Drosophila melanogaster: one gene and its partners. The protein of the gene in region 1 interacts with the protein of each later gene in a pairwise test. Each region holds a gene or a part of one and is shown in the gene's direction. Other genes may lie near its edges.

What was found. The genes of interacting proteins can lie anywhere in the genome.
Region 2: the proteins of Zasp52 (region 1) and Neto interact in a two-hybrid assay, tested with the Drosophila melanogaster proteins (one large-scale study listed by BioGRID).
Region 3: the proteins of Zasp52 (region 1) and CG6843 interact in a two-hybrid assay, tested with the Drosophila melanogaster proteins (one large-scale study listed by BioGRID).

The regions. Positions count from the first base shown.
Region 1 is NT_033778.4:15,811,859-15,816,766, reverse strand, and holds the start of Zasp52 (Z band alternatively spliced PDZ-motif protein 52), read left to right. Parts: upstream 1-1,849; 5' UTR 1,850-2,038; intron 2,039-4,908. UniProt on the Drosophila melanogaster protein: Regulator of cell matrix adhesion having two related functions, one upstream of Actn organizing the Z line and the other downstream of integrins regulating assembly of integrin adhesion sites.
Region 2 is NC_004354.4:13,444,013-13,448,902, forward strand, and holds the start of Neto (neuropilin and tolloid-like), read left to right. Parts: upstream 1-1,890; 5' UTR 1,891-2,265; intron 2,266-4,890.
Region 3 is NT_037436.4:18,899,879-18,903,452, forward strand, and holds CG6843 (uncharacterized protein), read left to right. Parts: upstream 1-1,715; 5' UTR 1,716-1,852; coding exon 1,853-1,924; intron 1,925-2,002; coding exon 2,003-3,031; 3' UTR 3,032-3,074; downstream 3,075-3,574. Other genes in the region: arx (asterix), read right to left, coding at 1,023-1,373, 1,442-1,594; CSN1b (COP9 signalosome subunit 1b), read right to left, coding at 3,267-3,574.

The DNA.
Region 1 (4,908 bases):
AGGAAGTGTAAGTGTCTTGGCCAGTTTCTTGGCGATTTGTTGTTTGTGGTTCGTTGTTTGTTGTTTGTGCTGGCCTCCTGCCAAAAAGTTTTCAAAAAAAAAAAAAAAAACGGCTCCGCGAAGAGCCGGTTTCGAGCCACAGGGCTCGATTGTGTGATTCATGGCTCCGAAAACTTGACCGTTGACTCAGCATCCCCGAATATCAAAGACAGATTTAAGCAATTAAACCGCATTGGTATAAAAAGCAAAAGTGTTAACCGCAAGTTATTGTGTAACTAACCGTTGTCACCGTTGTCATTAAAACATAAAAACGAAAGATCGCCGAGATGCGGTCTTTAAACTTAATTACGCCCGTATCTCGGTATTTCGTATCTTAATCGCCTGACCGAAATGCGTAATAAAAAACCGCAAGAACAGTGTTTTTTGTTAGTGATTTTGATTGAATTGCGCTAGATTCTTTATTATCATTTTTGCCACTCAACATGATTTAATTAAAAAGCCGAAATGTTTTTTGTCGGCATAGTTAGGTGGCGGGTTGGTTTATTATTATTTGTTTACTTGTTTGCTGTTCTTGTTTAACCCGCCTGAGCTTTTTATGCCACCCGCTATGTGATGTGATGTAGACACAAATACGCGCGGCATAAAACATCCAAATATTATATTATATTATACATATTTATCTACATAGTCGTCCATGTTTTCCTGTCCATTTTTTTTTTGTTTTTTGGTGGATTGGTGGATTGTTTGCCTCGATTCGATTCAATTCGTTTCGTTTCATTTCGCTGCTTGATTGAGCACATCAGCGCTGGCAAAAACATATTTGCGTTTATTTTTGTAAGCTTTGCGCTATGGCTACATTTTAACATATTAATGCTTTATGGCTCACTTTTCATGCACTGGAAATTCAATTTAGGGAAATTTCATTTTAGCGAGAGTATGTTTTTGGACCTGCGATCTTTAAAAGAAGCATGCATTGGGTATGAGGGATGTGTGACCCCGACGGAATGATTAATTGTTTATTGAGAAATGGATAATGGATCGGATGGATCATAGCTCGGATGGAGTCACCACCGCTGATTCACGCACTTAGGATCTTTTGTGACCCAAATTCCCCAGATTATTCGGGGTTGTTGTTCCCATTTAGCTGCACACTTTGTTGTGGTTTTGAGGAAAACAGATCACGGGAAATAGTTCAGCACCTGCACTTGCTTTCAACTTCAAAGAGATGTGCCAAATGTGCGTTTCATACGCATAGTACATTCATGACAAGAAACAATAATATGAGATCATTGAAACTTTATGTATATCTAAAGTATAGATAATGAAATTATCCTACTTAAGGATTTATTTTTTGGGCAATTGTACTTGAGCCCTTCAGCAAATTGTTTATCCCATTTAACTAGATGTAATTATAGGATTACTATAAGTTACAGCCCCGAAACGGACTGATTGCACATGGGCATTTGGCTGGCTGCGCCGTTAAAAGCTTGGCTATGAAAACAAAATACAAACAATTAGCCAAATAACAAAAAGAATAGCCCGCACCAGGAACAACAACAAAACAGTGGGCCACAAAAGCCAGACAGACATTGGCAGCCGTTGCCGTCGCCGTCGTCTGGCGTTTTGTAGCTTTGCGGCTCTGCCGTCGTATCGGTTGGGAATTGAGAACCGACAATGTCTATATAGATGCTATATAGCCAGACTGTGCCACTGCCACTGCCTCTCGCACGGCCCAAAAGCAGCGACGCCGGCAGCGACGACGACTGCGACGGCAGCGATGTGGTTGAAAAGATTTTTGTATTCGAAAACGGCACAAAATGCACATAAAAATTTTCGGTTTCGGTTTTTGCTTTAGTTGAGAGAAAATCGTCGCTTAGTTAACGTCGCCCAAGAACTGAACTGGCAGTGCACCACAAACGTCACGAATATACGAAACCGAGATCCAAGTCCAAATCAGTAAAAATCAAATCAAATCGAAACCGTATCGAATCGAATCTAATCGAATCCCAGCAGAAAGCCACCCGATCGGAATAAATCGGTCAGTACCAGGTCGCATGTGAAATCAGACATTCGGTTAAGTAGAAATCAGCTGGTTATACAATAGCCTGCCGCAATCGATTCGCCAGGATCGCTGATGAATCAGAATCAATATCAGAGACAGTCACCGCCCCTCTCCCTCACCATTCGTCCACTAAATAGTGACTTGTGTGCATTTTGTGAAGGTTAACAACAAGTAAAGTCCCTTACGAAACCGAAGACTCAGCGCGAATAATATAGGCGATTGGTAAATAATTTTCTTGGCACGCCGATCCAGGGAATTTCTTTTGACGCATATATCACATTTGTTGGCCAGAGCACAGATACAGAGATACAGATACGTTGTAGATCTTCGGCTCGTTGAAATTGAATAAAATTATATAGTCAAAAAGCGAGAAAATTTTTAGAAACTTTTCAAGGTGAGTTTATTTATAGCTCCTCGAAATGGCTGCGCGGATTGGATTTGTTTCCGAATACTCTCGCTCAGTCAGTCAGTCAGCGCCGTTCGCCAGCAGCCATCCGCCAGATACAATATCTGCCAGATACAGATACACAAATTGCGAAAGTGCTGCGAATGTGGCGGCCACCACCTCCTGCGCCTCCTTTCTATGCTCGAATTGCTGCGGTTTGGCGCCACAAATTCTGAGACATTTTCAAAACGTTTTGAGCGCTATATAGACTATATATCGGCGACAGCATAAAGCATCGCATATTAATGAAGCCAGACCAGCTCTCTAGGTCGCCTCCTCGAAAAGTGTCTTTCGTTATCTTGGCAATTTTCGTTTGCGATTTTCGTGGCTGCTCTTCGGATTTCCTCTTCGCCTGATCTATTTTCAGCGATTTTCAGCAATCGCTCTCTCCTTTTCTCTCTGCCTACCTCGCCAGCTCTCGCTCACTCTCACTGCCGCTGACATCACGTATACGCAGTGGTTGCTCTCCATTTCCATTTGCCATTTCCAATTCCTGCCAGGCCACCAGCAGTCTGCCTGTGATGTAATTTAGCCATGACCAAAACTTGTTGATACTCGCCCTGTTCTTGTGTCCGTTTATCTTCTGGCTTTCTTTTAGCCTGGGTTCAGTGAACCCCAACAAAACGACGAAATCGATTAATCACCCACCTTGTTATCTAGCGATTAAACTAATGTTTGGTCACCTCACCAATAATAGCTGTAAAGCAATCGCCACTTCGACCGAATCAATCTTACAACGCCTCACAACATCCGTGAATCAATGCCCGATAAGATAGTGGTTCTATAAACTTGAATGAGCTAATAGCCATTGCCACTGACCACTTTTTCGATGAATGAAATGTCTTTGTTTACACTGGGGTTTATCAGTCCAGGGCGGAATTAATTACGCAGAGGATGATGGGTGCACTAGAAAATACACCGAAAACAAAGAGCTGACTGTTCGTTTAATTATTTAAGTCGAGTTCTTTTAGTAAACAGAATTGTATCTAAATTTTTTCTCACTGCTGAAAAATACTAGCAAATTCCTTCTCGGCCGGGAATCGTAAATTAAGGCCGTCGTGGAAATGTAGCTGAGCTCATTAGAATGGCACTTCTCGTGCACATCCTATTCCTATCCTATCCCATTCCGTTCCTGGGTGCGTGACAATATTTCATGGCTTGGCTTCACTTGACTCGGATTCGTGCACATATTGCAACCATCGCGGGGGACTGAGCGATGGGGCAAAAAAGGGGAGACATGCTCTACAAATTTCAAACAGCTTTGCGTATATTTTAATTAGTTCGCTCTCTCATTGGCCGCTTTTGCTTTTTGCAAATTCTCTGCGGTCTCTACGATTGCCACCAAATCATTTCTCAAGAATTTAACCTTCGTGAACTGTCATGGTAGATTGCATTCTCTTTCCTTTTGCTGAGACAAGCACTTCTCTCGTATCTTTGTATCTTTGTTTATTCTTCAGGGTTCGTATGTCACTCAGAGCAAAAGAACAAAAAAAAAAAAAAAAAAAAAGGTGGCGAAACAACGCAAAACCCGACCGATGATAATGATTCAAGAATATTTAAACATACGTTAATGGAAGGTTCTTGCCTGGGAATGGTTGTAGGAGTAGATTGAGATATGACCCCTTTCGACCTTCTGATCTTGAATCTCATATGCTATATGCTATATGGCTTTTAAAAGAACTTCTATAATGAATTTTTAAATGCAGTGCTTGGCTATAGGAAAGAAGGTGTGCTATTTCAGCCAATGATATCATCTCAGCAAAGAAACAATTTCTTCAAATGTTTACTTCCCAATATATAGCATAAATAAATACATTTATTGCTATACAGACTGATACTATTAGCTCTCCTTATCGATTTACTAAGTTATAGTGCTCTGTTATTGCTCCCACTTAAAAAGCACTTGTGAGGTGTGCAACCCTGACCTTAACTTCTGCCAACAAGTTAATCACTTTCGCCTGGCCAACAACTGCGATGGCACACTTTCGCACAGATATGAAATCGCAAGTGGAGGAGGCGAGCGGAGTCGAGCGGAATTACACAATATTCGAGCGGCAATTTGACTAAAAGTAATCACGTATCCGACGCCTCGCAATTACATAACCGCAGTGCGTTGAAAATAAACGCCCACAGACGCGAAATCTTCGACGAAGAAGTGCAGACTCAACGCAACTCGAATTGTCTGAACCCTCCCCCCCATACCCCTTTTTTTTACTTTTTGCTAAATGGGTAATGGGTACCACTGCTGCCACTGCTCTTTCTGCACCACAAACGTGACTGGCAAACAATTTTTGGTTTCATCGCCGCGGCAAAAGCCACAGAAACCCATCGAGAGATTGCGATTGAGTCGGCACTTTGGGATAGGGTTTTAGTGGGGAAACCCGCATGGCATCTCATACCC
Region 2 (4,890 bases), on another chromosome or scaffold:
GTGCTAAGCTTGGGAGAGGTAATGAAAATAATGACAACTTCTCTTTTGGTTTGCCTTTCGTTTAAAACTTAATCAGGTTATCAAGTAAGCGTAACTACAACCTACAATTGGAAATTTTATATGTTTTTGCAATAATAAACATCAGATTGTTGGTTATACTTTAAGGTTTCCATCAGCTTAATAATCAATTTAATTTAAGCAGCTCGAGCAATGACATAGATTTTAAAATTGGTTAATTTGAGAGAGTATTAGATGATAGGCTTCTACTTTTATTTGAGGTGTTTAACGCGTTCTGTCATAGCAACGCTTCGAAAGCTAATATAAAGGCAATTAAGAGTGTCTGGAGAAACTTCACGTAATCTGCGGGATCTCAAGTTATTAAAAATATGTTGTAATGAAGGGAATGTAGTTTTTAAGAGACCACAGAAGTCGTTTTTTTTTTTTATTTCGCACACATTTCGTACAATGTATGCAAACGAATCGCAAAGGAAATATCAAATCGCTTGAGGCTTTAAGAAAACCACATTCACAACAGTTTCCACAGTCTGTGATCCAGGCATGTCATTTGACATTTCACCAAAAAAAAAAAAACGAAAAAAAAGAAGAGAATAACAACAAAAACACAAAGAAAGCAAAATATAACCAAAGCAAATAAAATAAAATATTTTGCGAAGAAGCCGAACAAAAAATGAAGACAGACTTTGTTGTCCTTGTCAGCGTGGCTACAACTTCCTTGGCCCAGGACGACGTCGGAAGTGCCAGCGGAAATGAGTAAAAAACCTACAACTCACTCAAAATTCCCGCTCACTCCCATCTCACTCGCACTCGAACAATGGGAAATTCCGTTTCGAGTGAAATTTTGTGCCACAAACGAACGCACTTCGGCTGCTTTCGGCCATCGCCTCGTATTCCCACTCACTCGACATTGAGCGTTTGTGGAGCATCCTCAGAGATGCCAAATATTTTGGGGGGGAAAAAAAGCTGAAAATAATTATTTTCCAATTTCTTAAGGTTCGCATGAAACCCGTATACTTGCATCATTGTTTAACGTTTTGGTGAAATGTTGTGATAAAATGAGTTTAAGTTTTAAAATAAATCGCACTATTTTTTGGCTCTTTACCATATCAAAATGTATATACTAAAATGAGCTTGAAAGTGGGCGGCGAAAATATGTTGATGTTAAGAAATGCATCTGGATATCGAGCAGACGTTTCCCATAATTTATTTTTATTAAGTTTTTATTTCTTAATCTCTATAGAAAAGCAAGATATTATAGATCACTGTCAGTTTTCATATTCACATCCGTAAATCTAATAGGAAACAATTTTTGTTTAAAAGAAATAATTAAAAGCTAAGATCCGTCATAAATAGTACTGTCAATTTGAGAGGCTAGAAAAATAAGATAATACATATCAGCTTATAATTTTTAAATTTCTTTTCGGGAAATTAATTTTTAAGCGTGGGAAATGGACAAAAATTGCTAGATTCTCGCAAGTATTTTATTTTATGGTGTGATATTCTTCTAAAATTAGATATTTTTATTAATACGTATTTTTTTTTTTAACAAGTGGAATCCAATTAGTTTGTTTTATTATGTTAATGATTGTTAGTATTAAAAAAAAAACTTCTATAGATATTGGGCAAACAACTCAATCAATTTTAGGTAGTAACATAATAAAGTAATAAATACGAATACAATTCTTTTTGGTTGATAGAAAAGAATAAGACAGTGAGCGGCTGGAAAAACTAGCCAGAGTTGTCGGGAAAGCCGGCTAAGTAAGCAGCACTGGCGGGTCGACAACAGCAGTGGCAGCATCCGCCGTGGCAGCGGCAACAGTCGAGCGGCAGACTCGATGCAGCAGAGCCACAAATTCCGGCATTACGTATACGCCCAGTCTACGTCGAGTTGGCCACGTGTACGGACACGCGGCGCGGTTCGCTTTCTCCGGTGACAGCACATTCGATATTAACGTTTCACTACCAAAAAAAAAAAAACATCGCGATTGGTTGCTAATAGACAAGCACCAGAGATACGATTTTAAAATCTTAAGGTTTTGCTTTTGTTCAAAAGAAATACAAATTTTTTTGTTTGGTTGTTTGTGTGACAGTGACAGTGCCAGTGTGAAAGTGTGTGTGTGTGAAAAGCTTGCCGGCTTGAAAAATGCGCGCCAAAAATTGAGATATTTTCGCGGAGCGCAGCGGCAACAAAAACAAATAAAAACAACATTTCGCAACGCAGCCAAAGGAGGCGACAACACGCAAATAGTAATATATACATATATATATAAATTAAACATATGCACATATACATATATATATTAGATGGCAGCTTTGCAATGTAAACAAATTATATTTCCGTGTTTTCTTAAAATAACAAATCTATTTGCCGATATTTACCAATTAATTAGTGGGCTAGTGACAATATTAAGTTGCAAAGGATAACAATTATAAAATAAATACGTATACTGCTGCATTCCGCATAATAGGCAATAAATATGTTTGCGAATATATTAATCAAATCAAGGCATTATGGCTGTGGTAGCTGAATGAAATTTGCATAAATCAAGCTTCAATGATCCAGAGGGCACATTAGTCTCTTTTAGCCTGTAGTTGTAAAAGTTGTTCGGTTTTAGCCAACAAAATGGAAATGAAAAGGCAAAAAGTGGATGTGTCATAAAAATTCCTTTTGCACAGAAGGCGTCCATTATGCGGATTCTAAAGCAATATTAAAATAATCTCTAGTAATTTCCTAGTAAGTGCCCACTTAAATGAGTTTTTCTTTTTTATTAGTGCGCTTTAAGTCTTTGATTTTATTTTAATGCGTCTTGGGATATATTTATACATATTATTAATTGTTAATTTGTTCAGCAGTTTTAGATCGAATATACTTGCGATTAAACATTTCTAAACATTTTGAAAAGTGTTCGATTTTTTGTTGTTTTTATTATTTATCTCATATAAGCTACAATATATGTTGAAAGATTTCGAATGAATGTTTAATTTAAACTATTTTGTCGCATTCGTTTGGAAACTTCGACCGTATTTTCTATGTATCCCGTATAGATAAGTTTGGGGCCACTTAGCGAATTGGCGGACATATTTTTAGACATAGCCCAAATAGTAAAAAAACAAGAGCAGAACGAGTAAGCGAAGAGGGGAAAATTGTATAAAAACCAAAGACACGAACGCAGAGGCTATAGAGAATTGGTGAAAAATGAGAGAAATTCATTAATAAAAGACAGCAACAAAAACAAGAGCAAAAATTAAACGGCTGCCATCAGGCTTTCCCACTTCTCTCACCAATTTTCCCTTTCGTTTTCCCGCTTTTCCTTGTCCACGGCACAGCTGTGATCACACGAAGAGAAAGAAAAAACAGAAGAAAATTCGGAAAAAAATGAAAATAAAAATTATTACATATGCGTAATGGGTATTTTGTGTTGTTGCTGCTGTTATTGAAGAAGATTTTCCAAGCTACAACTACAACAATTCCGTTAGCGCCAACTTTGACGAAGGTTTTCCATCGGCTTTTCTTTAAATACCCTCGCGAATACGCAGTGTATGGATTAGGGATTGATGAACTATGCTATTAGGTTAAATAAAAATATACTCCGCAAAACAATAATAATCATTTGGGCTTGCAAAACTGAATGCAATCTTTATTTATTGCATTAGTAGATTGAATAAATTAATTGTTTACGGGGTATTGTGTTGGTTGTTAATTGTCCATTAACTTAATTTCCCAGTGTTTTCTCTGTTTTGTTGCCGTCTCAATGAATTCACTAGACTTCCAATCGTCCCATCTCTTTCGCATGCTGTGCAGCCATCTCTCTCTATCGGTGGCTGACAAAGTTTTGCATTATGTTCATCTCGTCTGTCGCTCTTCTATATCCCATTCCCACATATGTGGCTCAAGGCTATCTTATACACGCACTTTCAGCGCCCTCGTCGATTTCTTAGTTTTTCTTCTCATTTTCCATTCATTTTTGCTGCTCCCATTTCGGTTTTCTTAAATTTTTTCAGCATGTTGCCCTCATAAATTTGGGCGAGGCAAACAAAATTTTTGTGGTAAACTTTTATTCACGAGGGTTTTTTTTATTTTTGAAGGGAAACTTCGATGGTAATTAATGGCATGTTGACCAGCTGGTCAAATAGGGAAAAGGATTATTCCTGCCTTTTAAGGACTAAAGTAAAGGATGAGTTCTTACTCCAAAAGAAAGCTTAAATCATATTATTTTCTTCTTCTGTGTATTCTTATTTTGTTCAAGAAGAATGTATCCAGCATTCAACAATTACAAATCAATGTTTAATAGCAATATTTATTTGTACTCCGTATTTTCTGAGTGTGATTATATTGTTGTTCAGATTTTCTCCATTGATTTTAATTCAACCATTTCGTTTTTGTGATCCTTTTAATTTTCTTAGCCATGTTGTAATTTCCCTTCTAGTTTTTCCACATTGGACTCCATTTAGTTTTATCTCTCTGCAGCTGTGCTGAGATTAAATTTTGTTCAATTTTTGTAACCATTTATTTCAATAAAATTAAGCCAAAAGTTTTTACAGTTAAGCCCAAACTTCCTTTGGCGATTTCGGTTAGCTTAACTGCTTTCCGCCTCCTTTGACCACCCATTTCCTTTGTGTCCCGAGCAACAGGTCCTCTCTCATTTGCTGGGATTTCTTCTTATTTATTATTTGTGTCTGTCCACAGTGTTTTCATTTCTTTCCCCGTATTATTTTTGGCCGCAAAAAAGTCTGATCTTAAAGCCTTTTTGCATTGTGCGGCGATTTTCGCAGCAATTTCCCGTGGAATGTGAAACTAATTGCAGCTGGACTTGGGTGGTTGGAAAACGCAATGGCATACAACTAATCAGAACGGAAAAAGAGCAGAAAAGC
Region 3 (3,574 bases), on another chromosome or scaffold:
CGGCGCCATTCTTTACAATAAAGGAAAGTTGATTTTCACAAATGGATCTGTTGGCTTATTTCCCTGAATGAAGTTTTAGATAAATGTGCCGGAAAACCGACGTAGCTGAGAAGTTTTGGAGTAGTTTAAAAAGAGACGCTCTGCTATTTGTTTTGCAAAGATTATTGATGTTTGATTACTGCCCGATTAGATTCTGTTTCAGATATAACTTATACTGCCATCTTCTCCATATTTTTGTTACTCTAAAAGTTAAAACCTTTAATTGACTTGCATTAGCTTGAAATAGAGTTTTCATTGAATTTGGACTTATAAAATGCTGTATTTGGCATCCATCCATTCAAATTAATAGTCAAATGATTGATTTAAGTTAAGCTTGTAACCAAAAATCCAAAAATAGCAGATTTAATACGTAATGGCTACTTACATGTATAATCGATCGTGTATTCCTACTATACAATCTTGATAAGCATCAACAGCAAACTTTCAAAGCTATTTAACTTTCCCAAAGAGTTTCATTTTGTAGGTAGAATAAACAGAACAGACCGATTTGAAAAACAGCCAATATTATTAGGATAACTAAAGAAACCAATATACGTCGGATTTCCCCTATTTATATACCCACTTTGGCAATAACGAATTAAAGGTATAAACGAATAAAGGTATTGTTGGGGATAAACTGATAGGTTAAGGAAGAGTAAGAAACGAGTATTTTTTTTGATAAGAAACAAAGTGAAATGCTTTATTTCACGATTATCTGTGTCGTTAATGGAAAAAGGCACATAGTTTACACATGTACATGAATTTGGGATATGTATGTTATTTTCATTATCTCAGAATAATATGAGATTGATTTTGTCATTTGCTCATCTGAACTGCGAGCAATACTTGTTTCACAGCACATGTTAATTTTAACAATTTGGCCGTGGAATTGTTTTTTTTGGTTATAATAACGAGTATAAGCCCCGATAAAATGTTTTGGTTTTTGTTCTTTGGCAGTGGGAGTAATTCTTGATGAACACGAACTACTGGCGCCTTGAGTATGGCCTCCTGTGCTCGTAGGGAGTGGGACGAAGATCCGCGCGAGCCTTGGCCTTCCGCGGCTTCTTCTCCTCCTCGTAATCCTCGCCAAAGTGACGACGTTTTTCCTGCTCGATGAAAGCCCTTCGCTGGGCGGGAAACAACCCATTGGGCTCTCTCACTATGTTGGCCCTGGAACAGTAGACCTGAGGATCGTAATCGGGCACACTCTCGTCGTCATCCCAGTTCTCCTCGGACTCGATCTTCGCGTGTCTGGTGTCTTCGCTGAGGACAGCAGGAGCGCTGGTCTGATAGTGTACTATAATGTTTCGATCCTCGCACGATTGGGTGTGTTGCTACGTATGCAGAAAGCTGGGCTTTAATAGGACATACAAGGTAACTACTACGTATATTCTGTACTCACAAAGAACTGGGGCTCTGGTATCAAATGGGAACTATTGAAGGGACAAACCATAAGTTCCACCGTGTCTTTGTAGATCACACGGCATTTTAAGATGTGCTGCTGGAGCTTCTTGCGCAGCATTTTGTGCTCCTTGTTGTACGGGCAATAAACCATATCGGATTCGTCGTAGTTATTCATCATGAAACAAAACCTAAGGTTTCGAGTTGCTTTTAAAATGTATTCGTAAAATACAAACAGTCCGGCAACGCTTTATCTACTTGTGTTACTATACCGATAATGAAATGCGATACTTTTCTTAGCCTATCGATAAGCGCAGTCAAAGTGCCCTGATATCGCAGCTGGAAAGTATTTATAAAAGTTGTATATTGGTTATTTGTTTGCAATTTGGTAGCGAAATTGCACAGCAGCAAGATGGGCAAGGGCTTCAACAACTACATGTGCAAGAAATTCTTCCACCCCGCCTCCAGGGACAACTTGAAAAGGGTAAGTGGCTCCGGGCTCCTGATGAAATATGTTCTTCCCCAGCAAAACGCCTAAAACTATAGGGATTACCTTCTGCAGGTCTGGATGGCGGAGCAGCAGGCGGAGGCGTACAAAAAGAAGCAGGAGGAGCTACGCAACCAGTATGAAAAGGAGCAGAATTTGCACGAGAACAAGGCAATGCTCAGCAAGGACAGCAAGGATAAGCTGAGCGTCAATTTCATGTACGAGCCACCGCCAGGAGTGCGAAAGGAGCGCGAAAAAGATGACAACGAGCCGGAGTACAAGTTCGAGTGGCAGCGAAAGTACAACGCTCCTAGAGAGTCGTACTGCAAGGGCGACACCGAGATCAGGGACCAGCCCTTCGGCATCCAGGTGAGAAATGTGCGTTGTCTCAAGTGCCACAAGTGGGGCCACATCAACACGGACAAGGAGTGCACCATGTACAGCATTTCCATGAGCGAGGCACGGAAACTGCACGCAGAAACAGAGGCCAGCGACATCATGGCCAAAAACGTGCTGGAGGAACAGATGAAGGAGGATGGCCTCATGATGAAGCGATCGGCACAGGAGCTGCAGAGCATAAGGGCCATTCAACAGCAACATCAACTGGTGCCCAGCGATGGCGAGAAGGACGCTCATGCCGATGACCAAAATCCCGAACTAGTTTTTCTCAAATCCCTGTCCAAGAAACAAAAGCTAAAGCTGTTGAAGAAACTGGAGAAGATTGAACGAATGAAGCGCAAAGGCGAGGGCATCAAGAAGCCCACAAAAAGGAAATCAAAAAAGGAAAGGCACGAAAAAGATAGCAAGAAAAAGAAATCCAAGAAGGACAAATCGAGCAGAAAAGACAAAAAGGGCTCAGTTAGCAATAGCTCAGACTCCTCTTCATCGTCGGACAGCAGCGACTCCGAGGACAATCACAAAAGCAATCACAGGGACGACAAAAGAAATGGACATCAAAGGACTAGGGACTCGGATCATAGCTACCAACGGCGGAGCAATGAAAATAGGCATCGGAGAGATCGATCCCGCTCCAGAGATCGCTCGCGATCGCTTAGCAGAGACCGAAGAAGGGAGAGGGAGCGCAGAGATCGGTCCAGGCGGTAGAATTAGTTTTGTAAAACCCACCAATAAATTTTTATCAATTTGTATCGTCATATTTAAAATTCTAATTTAATTTATATTTCATTTACACGATGAAGTATGGTGCTTTTTCGTTTTTGAGGAACCAACTAGTTTTTAAAATCATTCATTAGCTTTGCTATAATTATTTATTTTGCCAGCTTGTGATATACATATCTTAAAAAATTTATTGGGTATTAAGTGGTGCTTTTAAATTGCTCTAGATTCGGGCGAGTTGAGCAGTTGTCGAGGATCCGGCGGAGACGCAAAGTTCGGCGCCGTGGTTGCTTCCACCCTCCCGGGAAATGCTCTTCACGTGGATGTGGCTCTTGAGCATTGCAGCACGAAGAACAAGCATGCGGGTATGACGCTGGTACTGCTTGCCCATGATCAAAGCCCGCTCAAAGGTGCTGTTCCTTTGATCCGCCTCCTTGGCGAACAGGATCTTATTGTGGGAGTCAATACGCGCCTGGATCTGTCCGTCTAATATCAACTGCATCACCTCGTTCTCCAGATCGCCCACCGACG